Linked DNA regions of Schizosaccharomyces pombe. The gene in region 1 interacts genetically with each later gene. Each region holds a gene or a part of one and is shown on either strand. Other genes may lie near its edges.

Region 1 (7,181 bases):
GGCGTGGTGTTGTTGTGGGTAAGTTAAGATTGAAGTGCTACTTGTTGGGGTGCAAAAACTGCGCTCGTCCGTTGTTTAAAAAAAAAAGTAAAGGACCCTACTTGAAAGTACTAGTTCCAAAAAATGTTAAAGAAATGCTTGAATATTGTAGAAAAAATGTAATCTATTTGTCAAGTTTAAGCTAAGAAATTGTCGATGAAAAGCGACTTCCAAGGTTTGATTAGACGAAATGCCAAAGACGTTAGTTGGATTATTTTTTTGAACGATCATAAAACTTTAGAGCATGACTTGCTTGGTTGCCAGCCAAAAATTACTTCTTAGAAAGAGGATTTAAGCTTCTAAGGAAATAGTGAAGGAGTTCAAATCTCGTATTCACCGAGATGTTTAAAGAAATCGTTAATCATATATCAGAAAGAGCAGCGAATGGACGATGGGAATTAAACTTAAGAGAAACGAAATTATTCCAAGGCTCTTGATCCAATCTCGTTAAAAGGTAAGATGAAGCGCTTGGAAATCACAGTCGTTATACTTCATTTCCTAAGAGATATTAAGCGTTACCTATGACAGACAGATCTGTGTAGGGTTGTTTGCTTCAAGACAATTCGAAAACTTTGACTTTGTAAAAAGGACAAATTGAAGCCGGACGAAGTAATTGCTGCACTTATTCTTTATATTATTTTTTTTATCAACGTCTATAATGGAACTCTGTGATTGCTGAGAATGAGATGTGGTTGAAATAAGTTGTTTCTCATGAAGGCATTATTTTCACATTAATCTCTTATTTATCGGAGATTGACTTACAAGACGCAGGAAAAAATTGGATACCTTTTATACAATTTCGAATTATATCCAAATTAGGCTAATGCGACAAACCGGTAAAATCATTTGACGGTTCTTTATTCCTTTTAAAAAAATGAACAACGCCCTTTTCCTTCCTTTTTCTTTTATGAGGAATGAGTGTATCCAAACCTAAAAATATCTTTAGACTTACAAAATCCTGCTTCTGTTATTCTTATATTTACTATGCATATTAAGTTCCACTTTCTGTTCTCTCCAGCATTTTAAAATAAAGCTTTGGACATAGGCCTTAACTCTGGCAACGCATTACGATAAGTTTGGAAATTCTTTTGTAGAGAGAAGCACTGATCTCAACGAAGCAACAGTATTATAGGTGAAGGAGAAAAAAGAAGCAGGGTCACTATGCTTCTTTTGTAGGTGTTTTATTAGGGGAACTTATTATGTAGAAACCTCCGTACTGCATTGTACTTCCATTGCAGTTTTCAGCCACCTCTTGTACACTGTGGGGAAGGAAGTTTCTCTTAACGTAGGTTGTCCCAAAATGGAAGAAAAATTATACTAACAGTTAAAACAACAAGGAAATTTGTGAAAATTTCTGTTTTTAAAGGAAATTCAGTGTAGAAAACGTGTAATGTGCTTTTTCACTCTCACCAACTAAATGTGGTTATCTTCCTTGGGTTAATTTAAGATTACTATTAACGAGTTATCTACAACCAATGGTCGTTTTGAGAAATAACATAAGCTTCGCTAATTTTAATTTTATCCAATCAAAAGGATAAGTTTTAAAGTTGCATTTAAACGACTCTATTGAAGAAGCATCATCTCCCTGATTCTTTGTTTACCCATAAATTGCTAAGTTTCTTTGTTCTCTGTACCTCCTGACTACAGGTATGGTGAATCTACAGACTCCATAATTCTCTGATTTATCCAAAACCAAATTTAATAAATAATTTTTTAACACTCGTTTTCAAGAAAAAAACCGAATTCTCTCTCTTTATTTTTTTTTTACACTAGTCAAGCTATCGAACTACAGGACCGTTTACTCAAATTAAGGCGTCGCAGCGCTTGAGTCAAAAGTGAGTTTTCATTTTGAAATGCTAAATGTAAATTAATTGTTCGCTAGCGTCCCTATCCACCAAAGTCAAATAGACATTGCTGCACCTTTGTGCTTTCTTTCCGCAGTTTTTTATACATGGGAAATAGTAACTCAAAAAGTGTTAAAAACGACAAAGAAAATTTTGAGGATCCAAATGCCACCAATTTTGAAAGTGTTTCTCAGTTCAAAATTCGAAATGTTATTGGGAAAGGAAGCTGGAGTACAGTGTTCGTCGTGAAACATCGTCAAACTAAGCAAAGGTTTGCTCTTAAATGCATCAATAAAAAGAAACACGACGAGCATAAGATCAAGAAGCTAAGAAATGAGGTTCTATTATTACAATCATTGAACCATCCTCTACTATGCAAGTTTTACTCTGAGTTTGAGGATGAAACGAAAATTTACTTAGTAACTGATTTAATGCTTGGTGGAGATCTCCGATACCATATTTCCCAAAGAAAATTCAATGAATCGGTCATTCGTATTTGGATGGTAGAACTAGTATCTGCCTTGATTTATATACATTCAAAGGGGGTGCTTCATCGCGATGTAAAGCCAGATAATATTTTGTTGGATGAGAAGGGACATTGCAAGTTGGCTGACTTTAATGTTGCAGCTAAAGTGCATACCTCATCTTCTCCTTCTAAATCAAACATGACTGTTGGTCGCGTTGGGACCCCTGTATATATGGCTCCTGAGACATTAATTCACGCTGTTTCTTATAAAGAATCAGACTGGTGGTCCTTAGGTATAACATTTTACGAATGCCTTTTTCAAGTGCGACCTTTTCCCAATCATCTTTTGATCAATTGGATTCGAGCTTCAGAGGAAGAAAAGGCTTCATCAGCAGATCGTTTATCTTCTGCTCTTCATATTTCTCGGGATAAAAAGCTAACTACTATCTCGAAAGATGCTCGTTCAGCTGTTATGGCTTTTCTAGAAATGGACATTAAGAAGAGGTTGGGTCACTCCAGCAAGAAACTTCAAACACATCCATTTTTTTGCTCTATCTCTTTGGAGACCGTTTCCAAGGGCAACCTGACTCCTATTTTCCGTCCGAAATCTGGAAAAGTATATGTTGACCCAATTTTAGATTTGGAGGCTACTTTTTAAACTAATGATTCAATGTTTACAAAACTAATTAATATATATGATTATTCAAAGATTCTCTCAGCTACGATTTGTCTTTCGGTTCATGTGTTACATAGTATTGCTATTTTTTTACTATTTTTTTTTGCTTGCCTGATAGTCTCGTCTCTTATTTTCCCTGGAAAAATTTTGACTGCGTTTCCACTTAAACTATTTCAAACTTCATTATTTATAACTTTGAATTTCTGAACTATTCTAATCGAGCGATACGAAATTACACGAATTAATTAATATGACATTTATATCACCAAACACCTGTTATCCGTAGTTTTCTGCAAGTAATAATCCAAACAAAGGGAATTCTTTAATAAAATGTACACTAAACTCCTAACAGACATTAAACTTTTGTTTTTTATATCCACGCATATAAATGTTATATCAGCATCCATAATACACTTTTTCGATATCCAATCTACCGACTACGGGTTCAGCAACACTTTCTAGAAATGCTGTAACAATGGTAACCTTTGGGAAAATATAAGCCAGCGCTTTAATACTTTCAGAGTAACAAACATAGACCACAATTATAATGTTTTCCTCTGGGACCCCGAAATCCACTAAAATTTGCGTGGCCATTAAGACATCTGCATGTGTAGTTAAATGTGAAGCCATCAAAACAACATTCATGGTAGCAATGCCACGGGGCAATTTATGGTAATGTAAAGTTGGTTCTTGAGTAACTTTATTGATTTGCACCAAAATCTTACCCAAACACACTGTTGGAAATTGACGACATAAAGCTGTTTCAAGAGTTCCGCCGGATCGCAAAACTGAAACACCACAAAGCTCTTTTGCCATTTGTAGACCTTCCCACTGGTTTCCGTTATGCAAAGTAATCGTTTTCTTTTCATATGCAAGCGAATCACCTGCCAAATTCATCAACATGGTGCCAATTCTGCTCAAAAAAAATTGTAAATCATCAGGGTGTGTATTTTTGTTTATAAGAATAGTCCTGATGGCAGATATTTCAGGCGTAATTTTAAGCTGAACTAAATTTAAGGGTAAATGGGGAATGGTTGGTACAATTTGCTGTAAACTATCAATGTTCTTAACATGAGTTTCACTTTGTATAGAAAGTGTTCTACGAATAAAATTAATCACCATATCAATTGCCAATTTATTGTCCCGGCCACGAGGAACGATAAGATCAGTGTAAGATAGTTGACGCCTAACGAAGTTCTCATAACTTGGCTTGACAAATTTATTATATTGTTCCAAAACGCCAACTATGTCCCTTCCTCGATAGTTGATATCGCGATTCAGTCGACGAGAGAGACACACGTCCGAATCTGTATCTAGAAAGACCGAGACGTCAAGGAGAGAGCGAATCTTTTCATCGTATAAAGCAAAAATCCCTTCGAGAATAATGATACTTGCTCCGAATAACGTGTTGGTCTCAGGAAGCCGATTATGCTCATTGAAGCTATATATAGGAATGTCAACTTTACGGCCTTGTTTAAGTTCTAGCAGTTTTACGAAGAGCAAGTCCCAATCAATGGCTTCGGGGGAATCAAAGTCATAGTCGTTGTTAAATGCTCTCTTCTTCTGCTCTGCATTCAAAGATTTGTAAAACGAGTCAAGGGATAAAATAACAACATGTGGAAGATTTAACGCCTTTACAATCAATTGGGCCACCGAGGTTTTCCCACTACCCGATGGTCCTGCAATTCCAATAAATCGCACTTTACGCCATGGGGGTTCATAAGTTGGGTTGCTTGAATAACGCTCAAAAGCTTCAGGCATAATAACGAAAGAAATAAAATAAATAAGAAGCCCAAAAAAAAGGTATGCTAGCCTCCAAGGAAATATTACTAAAGAAAGTTTAAAAAAAAAAAAACTGTAGAGCAAAAAAAGACTAATTGGTGAACCTAACGTTTTTTAAAAGGTAAATTCTGTCTTGGCGTGAAACGAAAATATTCCACAATTTGTAGAGCCAAAGATATTTATTCAAACAGAATTAATTCAAGTAGAATGATAATGGTTTCCTTATCTTACTCTTCTCAAACTTGCTTAGTTTTTTCTATAAATCACAAATCTCGAGTTAGCAATACCATTAGAAAAATATATATATGTATACGAACCCAAAGGAAGGAAAAATGTTAGGAAATTTTAACATAAATAGAAAGATTTTCGAAATGTCTTTTTAAATAACTAGTAAACTAGTTGAAACAATAAATTGGAGAAGGGTAAATCCAATATCATTGTTTTTTCATCCTTTGGTAACATTATCACTGTGACTTTTTCAGTCAGCGCCTGAGCCGCGGTAATCATCGGGAATAAAGAAAGAGCAGTTTGTTTGTAGAACGGAAGTGAGAAGTTTTTTTGCAATACCTATTACTAAATTAATGAATTATATGTAGATTTAAAAGAAATCCGGCAATTAATATTCGAAATTAATCAATTTTGACTATGTGAAAATTGTAACATTCGTGACATGTTGGAAGCTTGTACCAAAATTTGATATTTAATTTAACTTTAAAAATGTATTTAATAAAAATAGGCGACAATAAGGAAATTTAACATATTGGCTCAAATTCAAAAACGCAAGAGAAATCTTGCTTTGTTTATATAAATAACTAAATCAACACGACTAATACTTAATACGCATTTCTTAGAAAAACAGATTCAAATTATTTTTTACCTTCCAAAAATGATGAAATAAAAAGAACAGCTAGGTTGAGATCGTCTCAAAGTTCAATAAATGATTTTGCCGCTCGAAGATTTAGATTGTAGCTTTGCCATTTTTTTTAAACCTAAGAGAACTGACAAAAAGGAATATGAAAGTTTCTTTTGTGCAGAAGAACCAAGTAAATGGACATAAGTTTATGGCAGGTTTTATGATATTGAGAACTCGTCGCTTTTGTTCGTAATAGGCAATTAATTTCAAATTAGAAAATAGTATAAAGGATATTCAGTTTGACCCATCAAGTAGAGTAATCCGCTATTAATGGTGTGAAAAAGTAGAAAAATTTGAAAAAAGCGTACATTTTCGAATAGAAACCCATTTACATGCTTACTTAGCACACGCAAAATCCTTAAATTTCTCTTCCCTATATCGAGAGAAGTGAAAATATAGAATAGTGAATGCATCAAACGCAAAGATTTGAAGCCGGTGCAATGTTAAACATATTTGACGGCTAATCGTCACAAAAAAATGACATTGATGACCTCGAATTGCGCAAATTTTGACTTCATATTTAAAACTCGAAACTCATGAATATTAAGCCTAGATAATTTGTTCGCATAATTTCTTCTCAATCCCACAAATTAATTATCCATGTATCGATAGCAATGGAATCAATTGATTTATTAAATTAAAGTAGATATCTTCCCCTCCTCATTTGATTAGAAAAAAATCCTTGAATTTCACATCACATTTACTCGAAAAGTTTTATCATAAACTTGCTGTAGAATTGAAACTGTAACTGCAATTTAAACCAAATAAAACGCTTTTTAAAATAAACAAAAGAGTACCACATGACTAAATTCCTCATCTTCCTTTTACCAACGTTTGTTGTAATATATTACCCATGCCTTTAGTAATGATAAATTGCACTTATTGAGCTAGAAAATAGTGAATTGAAATAAATCTAATATTTTAACAAACGATATCACGCTATAGCCGTTTTATAATATTTGCCATCTTTTGTTCGTTTCACATTGACACACCTCCATCCTCTCTTTCCTTTCACCTATCTTGGCGAACGAATTCTTAACCTGCTAATTTATTCACTTCAGGAGTAGGAATTGACAAGTGAGAAAAATTAATAATTAAATATTTTTTTTAATATCGTTCTTTTACATTATTGATCCATTGTTTTTGTTAGTCATAATTGGGAATTGACTAGCTTTTTATTGGATTCCTCTTCATGTTCATATTTTACTCAATTAATCATTTCAAAGGTTAATTTACAAGCGTTTTGCTTGTATTCGTTTCTTCTTCATTTTCTTTCTAAACAGTTCCCCAAAGAACCCTCATTTAGACGTTTAGTATGGAACGTCCATCCCTGTCGAGAAGAACGTCCTCTTCTACAGTAAGTACAGATGGTGAAGGGGTTTACTCAAGATCTACTAAGGAGCGTAAGCGGAATTTTATTGTAAACAGTAGGCTTAAGCGTGGTGGAGGTCATGTGCGAGT
Region 2 (7,286 bases), on another chromosome or scaffold:
AACGTGGCATGGGAAGCCTAAGCGTTCAGCTTCAGCATATGCTTTTTTACTCCAGGCTCCGGTAATAATATAGTTTGCAACAAGAGATTTAGCATTGCCATTCTTGAGGGCATGGTGTGCATAAACATTATAAAGACAAGCGGCAAATTGTTCTGTACCACCGCCTTGCATAAATAAAATATGAAAGTTTTCGGGGATATTGTAAAGTTTACGAAAATTGGATTCAGCAGAAGTAACGATCCCGGAACCTTGCTTGCTGCGATGGGAAATTTCAGCGACACCCATGCCAAGGCCCTGGAAATTGACAAAGTCCTTTCCAAATTCCTCAACTACAGAGGTAATCATAGCGGCAGGACCGGCAGCAAAATTAACTACTTCCTCTCTGGATGACATTTTGTTCCGTGAGCTCAAGCAGAAGTATACTTAGAATTTAAAATAATCTGAATATCAATTTTCACAGGTATTACTCCAAAACTATTTATATGAGAGTAAAACTAATTACAATAGTAAATGTCGCCTAGAGAAATCAAAACCTGTCAACGTGATCCAATTATCAACTCCTATGATATGGGTTAAGAGGAAGTGAGTGAAGTCACTACTTCTTTTTTATACACACCGATGAGATCCCAAAAATGATAGCGTATTCGTTTACGCTTTGTCAATTTAATTCTTTTACAGTAATTTATATTTTAGATATCTCATTACATTAATTGACATTTCGCGTCTAAATCTCATATGTGGGAACTTCTACCTTTTCACTTCGTGGTTTTCGTACTCAACTCAAGCCCCAGAAAAGACCGGTTTATTTTAAATTAAAAAACACCTAAATGATTTTAAGATCAATTGTATATTATGAATAATGACAATTTGCATGATAAGTTAACGATATGGCGCCAACAGCAAATTGAACTTAAAGGGATGTTGCAGCTAATTCCCAAATTTCAAAGTTTGAATGAAATAAGATATGTTGTAGGATTGGATATCTCTTTTGATAAATCAAGTCCAAAGGCTGTCTCAGCCCTTGTTATTTATGATTTAGAACAACGTATGATTATTTATAAAGATTATTTGTGCATTGAGAAATTAGAAGAGGACTATGTTCCCGGGTTTCTTTCATTTCGAGAAATTAAATGGTATTTGCCATTGCTAAATCACATTCCTCATCAATTTCGAATTGATATCATTTTAGTAGATGGAAATGGCGTATTGCATCCTGTCGGTAAGTAAGATTCTGTAAACAATCTATTTACTTCAAGGAGACACTCTCAATGAAGGATATTATTAATTATATCTAACTCAACTTAGGATTTGGATTGGCTTGCCATTTAGGTGTGTTGTTGAATCTTCCCGTTGTTGGCGTCGCGAAAAATTACTTACATTGCGTGGGTTTGACTGAAAGCTTAGATGCACATCGTGAAACTTTAAAGAAACACGTGCTAAAGAAAACAACTGATCATCCAATATTGATTCACTCGATTGATCAATCTTCTGAGATTCTGGGCGCTGCAGTATGGACAAGCAGTAACTCGAAACGCCCAGTTTATGTTAGCATCGGTAACCAAATGAATTTAGAACAGTCTATCCAACTCGTACAGAAATGCAGTAGCTCTCATAGCAGGGTACCGGAACCGATCAGGCAAGCAGACATTTATGCCAAATTTGTCCTAAGTCAATCGAAAAGGAATAAGAAAAATTAAGCAAAATCATCTTACGAGAAACATTACTTTGTCTACTTAGATATTCTGTGAGTATTTTAATTGACGGTTTAGAATTAGATTAATCTACAGGAAAGAGAAATAAAAAAGCGGAATTTGAACAAACGTTAAGCAACCTTTAATGGAAATCCTGTTGTATCATCCAAGCTTAGTAAAGGTCAAAAAATTACCGTTCAAGTCATATAAAGATACACAAATCTTTGAAATGAAAAAACAAGCCCAATTAAAACAGAAAGATAAAAAAACAAAATTGACGGAAGAAACTAAAATTCGAATCAATCTCTTTGAACATTTGTAGGACATGAAGGTGGAGGTAGTGGAATATCAGTGGGAGAGGATCTAGCAACTTGCTCATATGCAGGAGGACTGGGTCCAACACTATTGAACATTGGGGGGCATTCCTCATCCCAACTAACACCAAGACCACCTCGTTCAGTCAAAGGTAAATTGACCTTCATCCTTAAAATTCGGGCATTCGAGTTTATGGGATGCGAGTTCATCACTTCGACGACTATAGTCTCAAGAATTAGTTGATGGGCAATATATAGAGAGAATTGTCCATCAAAGGAAACATCACAAATAGGCTTTGAAAGTAAAGATGTACTGATAGGGATCTCGAAGATAATTCTATCGCCATCTTCTTTCCAACCAGACTTATGTTCATTATTTCCCAACAGCCGAGTCTCCTTGAAAATGTATGGCTTTTTTGTCCCAGTATGGGTCGAGCAACCATTTATTTGAGCTTTTATCTGTTCTTCTATTCTCCACGAAATCTTCGTTAAGCGCCAACCAACCTTGGAGTTTTCAGGTTTTACACCGGTCAGCTGAAATTCAACAGGAACACAACTCAAAGGGTGAATTACAGGAGGCAGCTCTAAAAGAGCAATAAGCGAAGTAGGGGGGAAGAGACGCTGGGCAATTTTATCAGCATTAGTGACAATAGAGCGTTTCAAGTTTAAAGGATATTCAAAAACAAAATCGGGTTGACTGGGAATCTTAACGCGAGTTTTTAGGATGTAAGTAACGTTTATGAATGGTGAGTTGGTCGTTTGTGGAAAATGTCCAGGTATTATAAAAGTGAATGGCCAAGTATGTGTACCATGAGTATATACGGTAGGTTCTTTAGAAAACTCCCATTTCTCAAAAGCCTCAACCTGAGCTTTGCAATCGGGACAGCTGTCGCGCAAAGGACGCTTTGTGGATATTATGCGGACGAATTCCATGACAATGGATTCGCATTTGAGATCTGCAGGAAATACAGTCAACTTGGCAAGTCCAGATGCTAACGCTCCACTAGAAACATCTGGATTCCCATACATTACCAAAGGAGGAGACTCCATCTGGATGTTGAGTTCGAAAGGTTGTTCTTCTGTTGAAGCATGCTGAAATCTCCTGACTAATGAAGGCATCTTGACGGTTCAGCTAATGACTTAGGAATTAAATATTAAAAGGAAAGAGTAGGAAAAAATGAATCTAAAGAACAAAGGGGGGCCCGATCAGAAGAATTAATATGAGATTGAAATTAAACAAACAGAAAACGGCTATGAAGAGAATGAAATATATTTTTTGGTAAAAATTTTAAATTAATATATATCCTTAACAGCTTCTGAGGTTGAAAGCGACAGCACAAGAGATGAACTCAGGTTTTATGTAGAACGGAATAGGGATTATCGAATTTGGAGCTTACTCCTTAAACGTTTGATCAAAGATAAGCAATTGTGCTTCAATTTTTTTCAAATGATATAAAACAATTGAAAAAACAACTTCCTCTCAATAGTAGTTCGAAATGGAAAAAACAATTAAGTAGCGTTGAATGTGTTTTTCTATGCCAAAATATTTACTCAAATCAATATACAGGAGCCTTTTTTTAGCGTCCAAAGAAATACTTTGCTCACTGTAAGCAGAGCGTAACTATGAATACAGTGCATATAGCACCTCCCTATGAAAAATATACTAATGTAGTAAGAAGAGAAGGTTTTTGCAAAGGAAGAATAGGAAGTGTAGTCTGCATGCTCCCCAGGCCACTGAATGCGAAGGTTTTCAAAGTTTGTTATCTACAATCTTACGTAGCTGTGCGTATCTCAAGCCGACCTAAACAAATCTCGTTATTCCAAATAATATTTATTTTAAACAGTTATCATAATTCTATATGATAATAATCCATAGTAACTAAGCTGTTTTATATGTATCTGAACAAAGGAATAGAAAAAATAAACCCAGTTTCCAAGTTTTTCTTTCTTTTATCCTTGAACATATGTATGTTTAATTCTTAAGATATTGCTACCTAAGGATTTGTAATAAAAAATACGTTATGATAAATATTAAAAAAATAACACATAAATAAGCATATGCCTCTAGAAGCCTAACAAATTTATGTTTTTTATTGCTGAACTATTTTTTTAAAACACATGCAAAAAATGATTTGCCGATACTTTGAAGCCGTCACAGCTGTTTGTTGCAACTGAATACACTTTCCTCAATATCGGAGTTATTTCCGGCGATCTAATCGACGTGATAACTGGAGAAAGTTATCATATCTTATCATTTGTAATTCTAAAAGTAAAATCGATCAACTCATAAAATAACATTTCACTTTGCTGCACTGTAGATTTTTCTTATCAAATCTATTGGTGTACTAAACAGACTAGCTAACGTTTGCTGATCCGATCGACTATAGCAGCACACTCACTCTCTATACCATAAGACGTTGCCGAACCGACATCTATCGTCATTCAAATAATCTTTGGATTTGGTAATTTTAGTCGTTTACATACGCTACTTAGTATTTTTTTGGATTTTACGCTTTTCTACTAAAGTATACGAAAATTAGACTACCTTTCGTGAACAATATAATTGACCAAATCTTAGAGCTGAAATTTTTTGAGAAATATGTCTTATATGCATTCTTTAAACCTGATGCTGCAAAATCCCAGCGGAATTGACAAAATTGCTGCCATTCTTGTCAACGTTGCGAGGTTGGATCCAGCATCTTCGAAATCAACTGCTCAACTGGTTTCTATGCTAAATGAATTTCGATGTATTTTACGTCTTCCTGGTCTCTACAAATTAATCGTAAATTTTCGTAAAGATTCTTCTCCTGAAACTTACATGAGTAACGCAATCAATATTGGATACTATGTCACAGAAGGATTGGCATTCTTAGGCGGCAAACAGATTATTTCCATATCAAAACCGTTGGAAGACAAATTATGGCTTTGGTCTTCTAGATTTTGGCTTCTCGATACTTTATTGACCATTTACCAGCTTTTGCGTGAAAAAACAGAAGACGAAAAGGAGCATCAGTTAGACTTAGCTTCAAACTTGGCTAGCCTTCCTTTGTGTATTCACTGGTCTGTAGAAAATGGAGCTGGTTTACACAAACACCAAATTGGAGTTCTTGGTCTTTTCAGCGCAATTGTACAAACTAGAAAACTAATCCTCTCTTTGCACAATAAAAGAGCTTAGTTACGAATGAGCTTTTTAAATTTAAATAGAAGTTACTTTTTTCATGTAATTCTATTCGTGCTCAACTATTTTTCGTTTTCTCGAATGTCTATGTGAGTAAAGTAGTAAACAAAAGTGGTAACAGTCGTCTTGGTTTTTTCAGCAAAAATCGAAATATGCCATTCTAAATGAAGGGACTGAATCGGTTTAAAGCTTGAAAGGTTTTAGAAATGAAGTCGATTTTAATCGTTAATCCATTCCATTAAAGCGTTTTAAATTTTGGGATATTGATCGAAAATTTAATCAACGGAAAACATTAAGTTACTCTTTGTTTGTCACCAAAATGTACCTTGTCATTTTTTTCTAATTGAACTGAATATCTTTATTAACGAGTGTTTTTAATGGCCCTGCAATTTCAAATTGAGGATGTACGATATCATACTTTTAAGTATATCATATATAAACGTTAAGGAATTATTATCAACTATAATGCACTACTTTTTTAGGTTTCTTCTGAAGCTCAGTACTGTTGAGAATGTTCTAATTACGACTCAAGAATTGACGGATAATAGCTCGAATAATAAATTTGAGGCGACATAAATGGTTACAAGTTGATTAAAGAACATAGAGATTAATACACATACTGTTAAATATGGTTCAATTGTTGAATTCATTTGGACTTTAATTCCAGCTTTAATCTTAATTTTACACGCATCATAATGGTTTCACTCAAAAAATCAGATTCAGTAATATAAAACAATTTACTACTGACTGAGTACAACGATATTTTCATCTAAAAAAAAATCTGAAAATATAAAGAATATTGTTATTTAAAAGAAAGGAGAACAGACTACGACAAATTGAAAAAAATGAAGGAATTGGTAAACAAAATGTATCTATCGAAAACAACGCTGTACTACGTAAAGTGAATACTGTTCGTAACCGCATTCCATACGGATGGCTAGAATCCAGTAACCCTGCCCTAAACTGTGACTGCTTTATCTCATTAAACCTGCGAGAAGTCAAATTATGAGCTACCATCTGCAATCACCATGTTGTTGTACAAGGACGTTATTTCTGGAGACGAACTCGTTTCTGACGCCTACGACTTGAAGGAGGTAGACGATATTGTCTACGAGGCTGATTGCCAAATGGTCACTGTCAAGCAAGGTGGTGATGTTGACATTGGTGCCAACCCTTCTGCCGAGGATGCTGAGGAGAATGCTGAAGAGGGTACTGAGACTGTAAACAATCTTGTTTACTCTTTCCGTTTAAGCCCTACTTCTTTTGACAAGAAGTCCTATATGTCTTACATCAAGGGTTACATGAAGGCTATCAAGGCTCGTCTTCAAGAAAGCAACCCCGAGCGTGTTCCTGTTTTCGAGAAGAATGCCATTGGATTCGTCAAGAAGATTTTGGCTAACTTCAAGGACTACGACTTTTACATTGGTGAGAGCATGGATCCCGACGCAATGGTTGTCTTAATGAACTACCGTGAGGATGGTATTACTCCCTACATGATCTTCTTCAAGGACGGTCTTGTTTCTGAGAAGTTCTAAATGCAAATTTGGGTTCTTATAAGGGAGTTTCTAACTGGGAACATGATATCATGTCTAAATTTTATAGTTTTGTGAATTAGTTTTCACAAAATTTCATTAGGATTAGAACAGGGGTTTTTGTTCTGATAATAATTAATTATGCTAGCTTATAATCATGTTCAAATTGAAATTAGTGTTTTTTTATCGATTTTGTATTTGGTTGAATGGAAGATTGAGGTATCGATGTTTTAAAACGTGTGTGCTAAAATTCATGAATCTATTTATATATTAACAGGCCGAAATAATTTAGTAAGTAAGGATATGGTTTGAAATTTGGTATTTTACCATTAATTTAGTGTATTTTTTTGCTTTTTATCGAAGTTGATAATTCAAGTCCTTTACGAGGAATAGCCAAACTTTTGTTATGGCGACACTAGACGACCCGGTAGCCATTGAAACTTTGTTACAGTCGAAACTATAGTTTACTGTTAGTACTAAAGATTTGGGAAATTTTTGCTCGACGATGTTATTTTTGTAGCGGACGACTATTGGATTAAATTTATGCTTAATTGTTAAGCCTTTTAATCAA

The links. A genetic interaction does not mean that the proteins touch.
Region 2: mutations in urk1 (region 1) and any2 together harm fitness more than expected from each alone (negative genetic interaction), as found in Schizosaccharomyces pombe (one large-scale study listed by BioGRID).

What each region holds. Positions count from the first base shown.
Region 1 is NC_003421.2:1,554,050-1,561,230, reverse strand, and holds urk1 (uridine kinase/uracil phosphoribosyltransferase), read right to left. Parts: upstream 5,233-7,181; 5' UTR 5,125-5,232; intron 5,064-5,124; 5' UTR 4,787-5,063; coding exon 3,422-4,786; 3' UTR 3,318-3,421; downstream 1-3,317. Other genes in the region: serine/threonine protein kinase Ppk33, read left to right, coding at 1,991-3,007; TORC1 subunit Tco89, read left to right, coding at 7,036-7,181.
Region 2 is NC_003424.3:3,808,960-3,816,245, reverse strand, and holds any2 (arrestin-related substrate adaptor Any2), read right to left. Parts: upstream 3,698-7,286; 5' UTR 3,125-3,697; coding exon 1,991-3,124; 3' UTR 1,698-1,990; coding exon of another isoform or gene 1,306-1,697; 3' UTR 1,220-1,305; coding exon of another isoform or gene 853-1,219; 3' UTR 501-852; downstream 1-500. Other genes in the region: ser1 (phosphoserine aminotransferase), read right to left, coding at 1-393; SPOM_SPAC1F12.06C (DNA repair endonuclease), read left to right, coding at 853-1,219, 1,306-1,697; SPOM_SPAC1F12.04C (uncharacterized protein), read left to right, coding at 4,605-5,180; tma19 (translationally-controlled tumor protein), read left to right, coding at 6,212-6,718.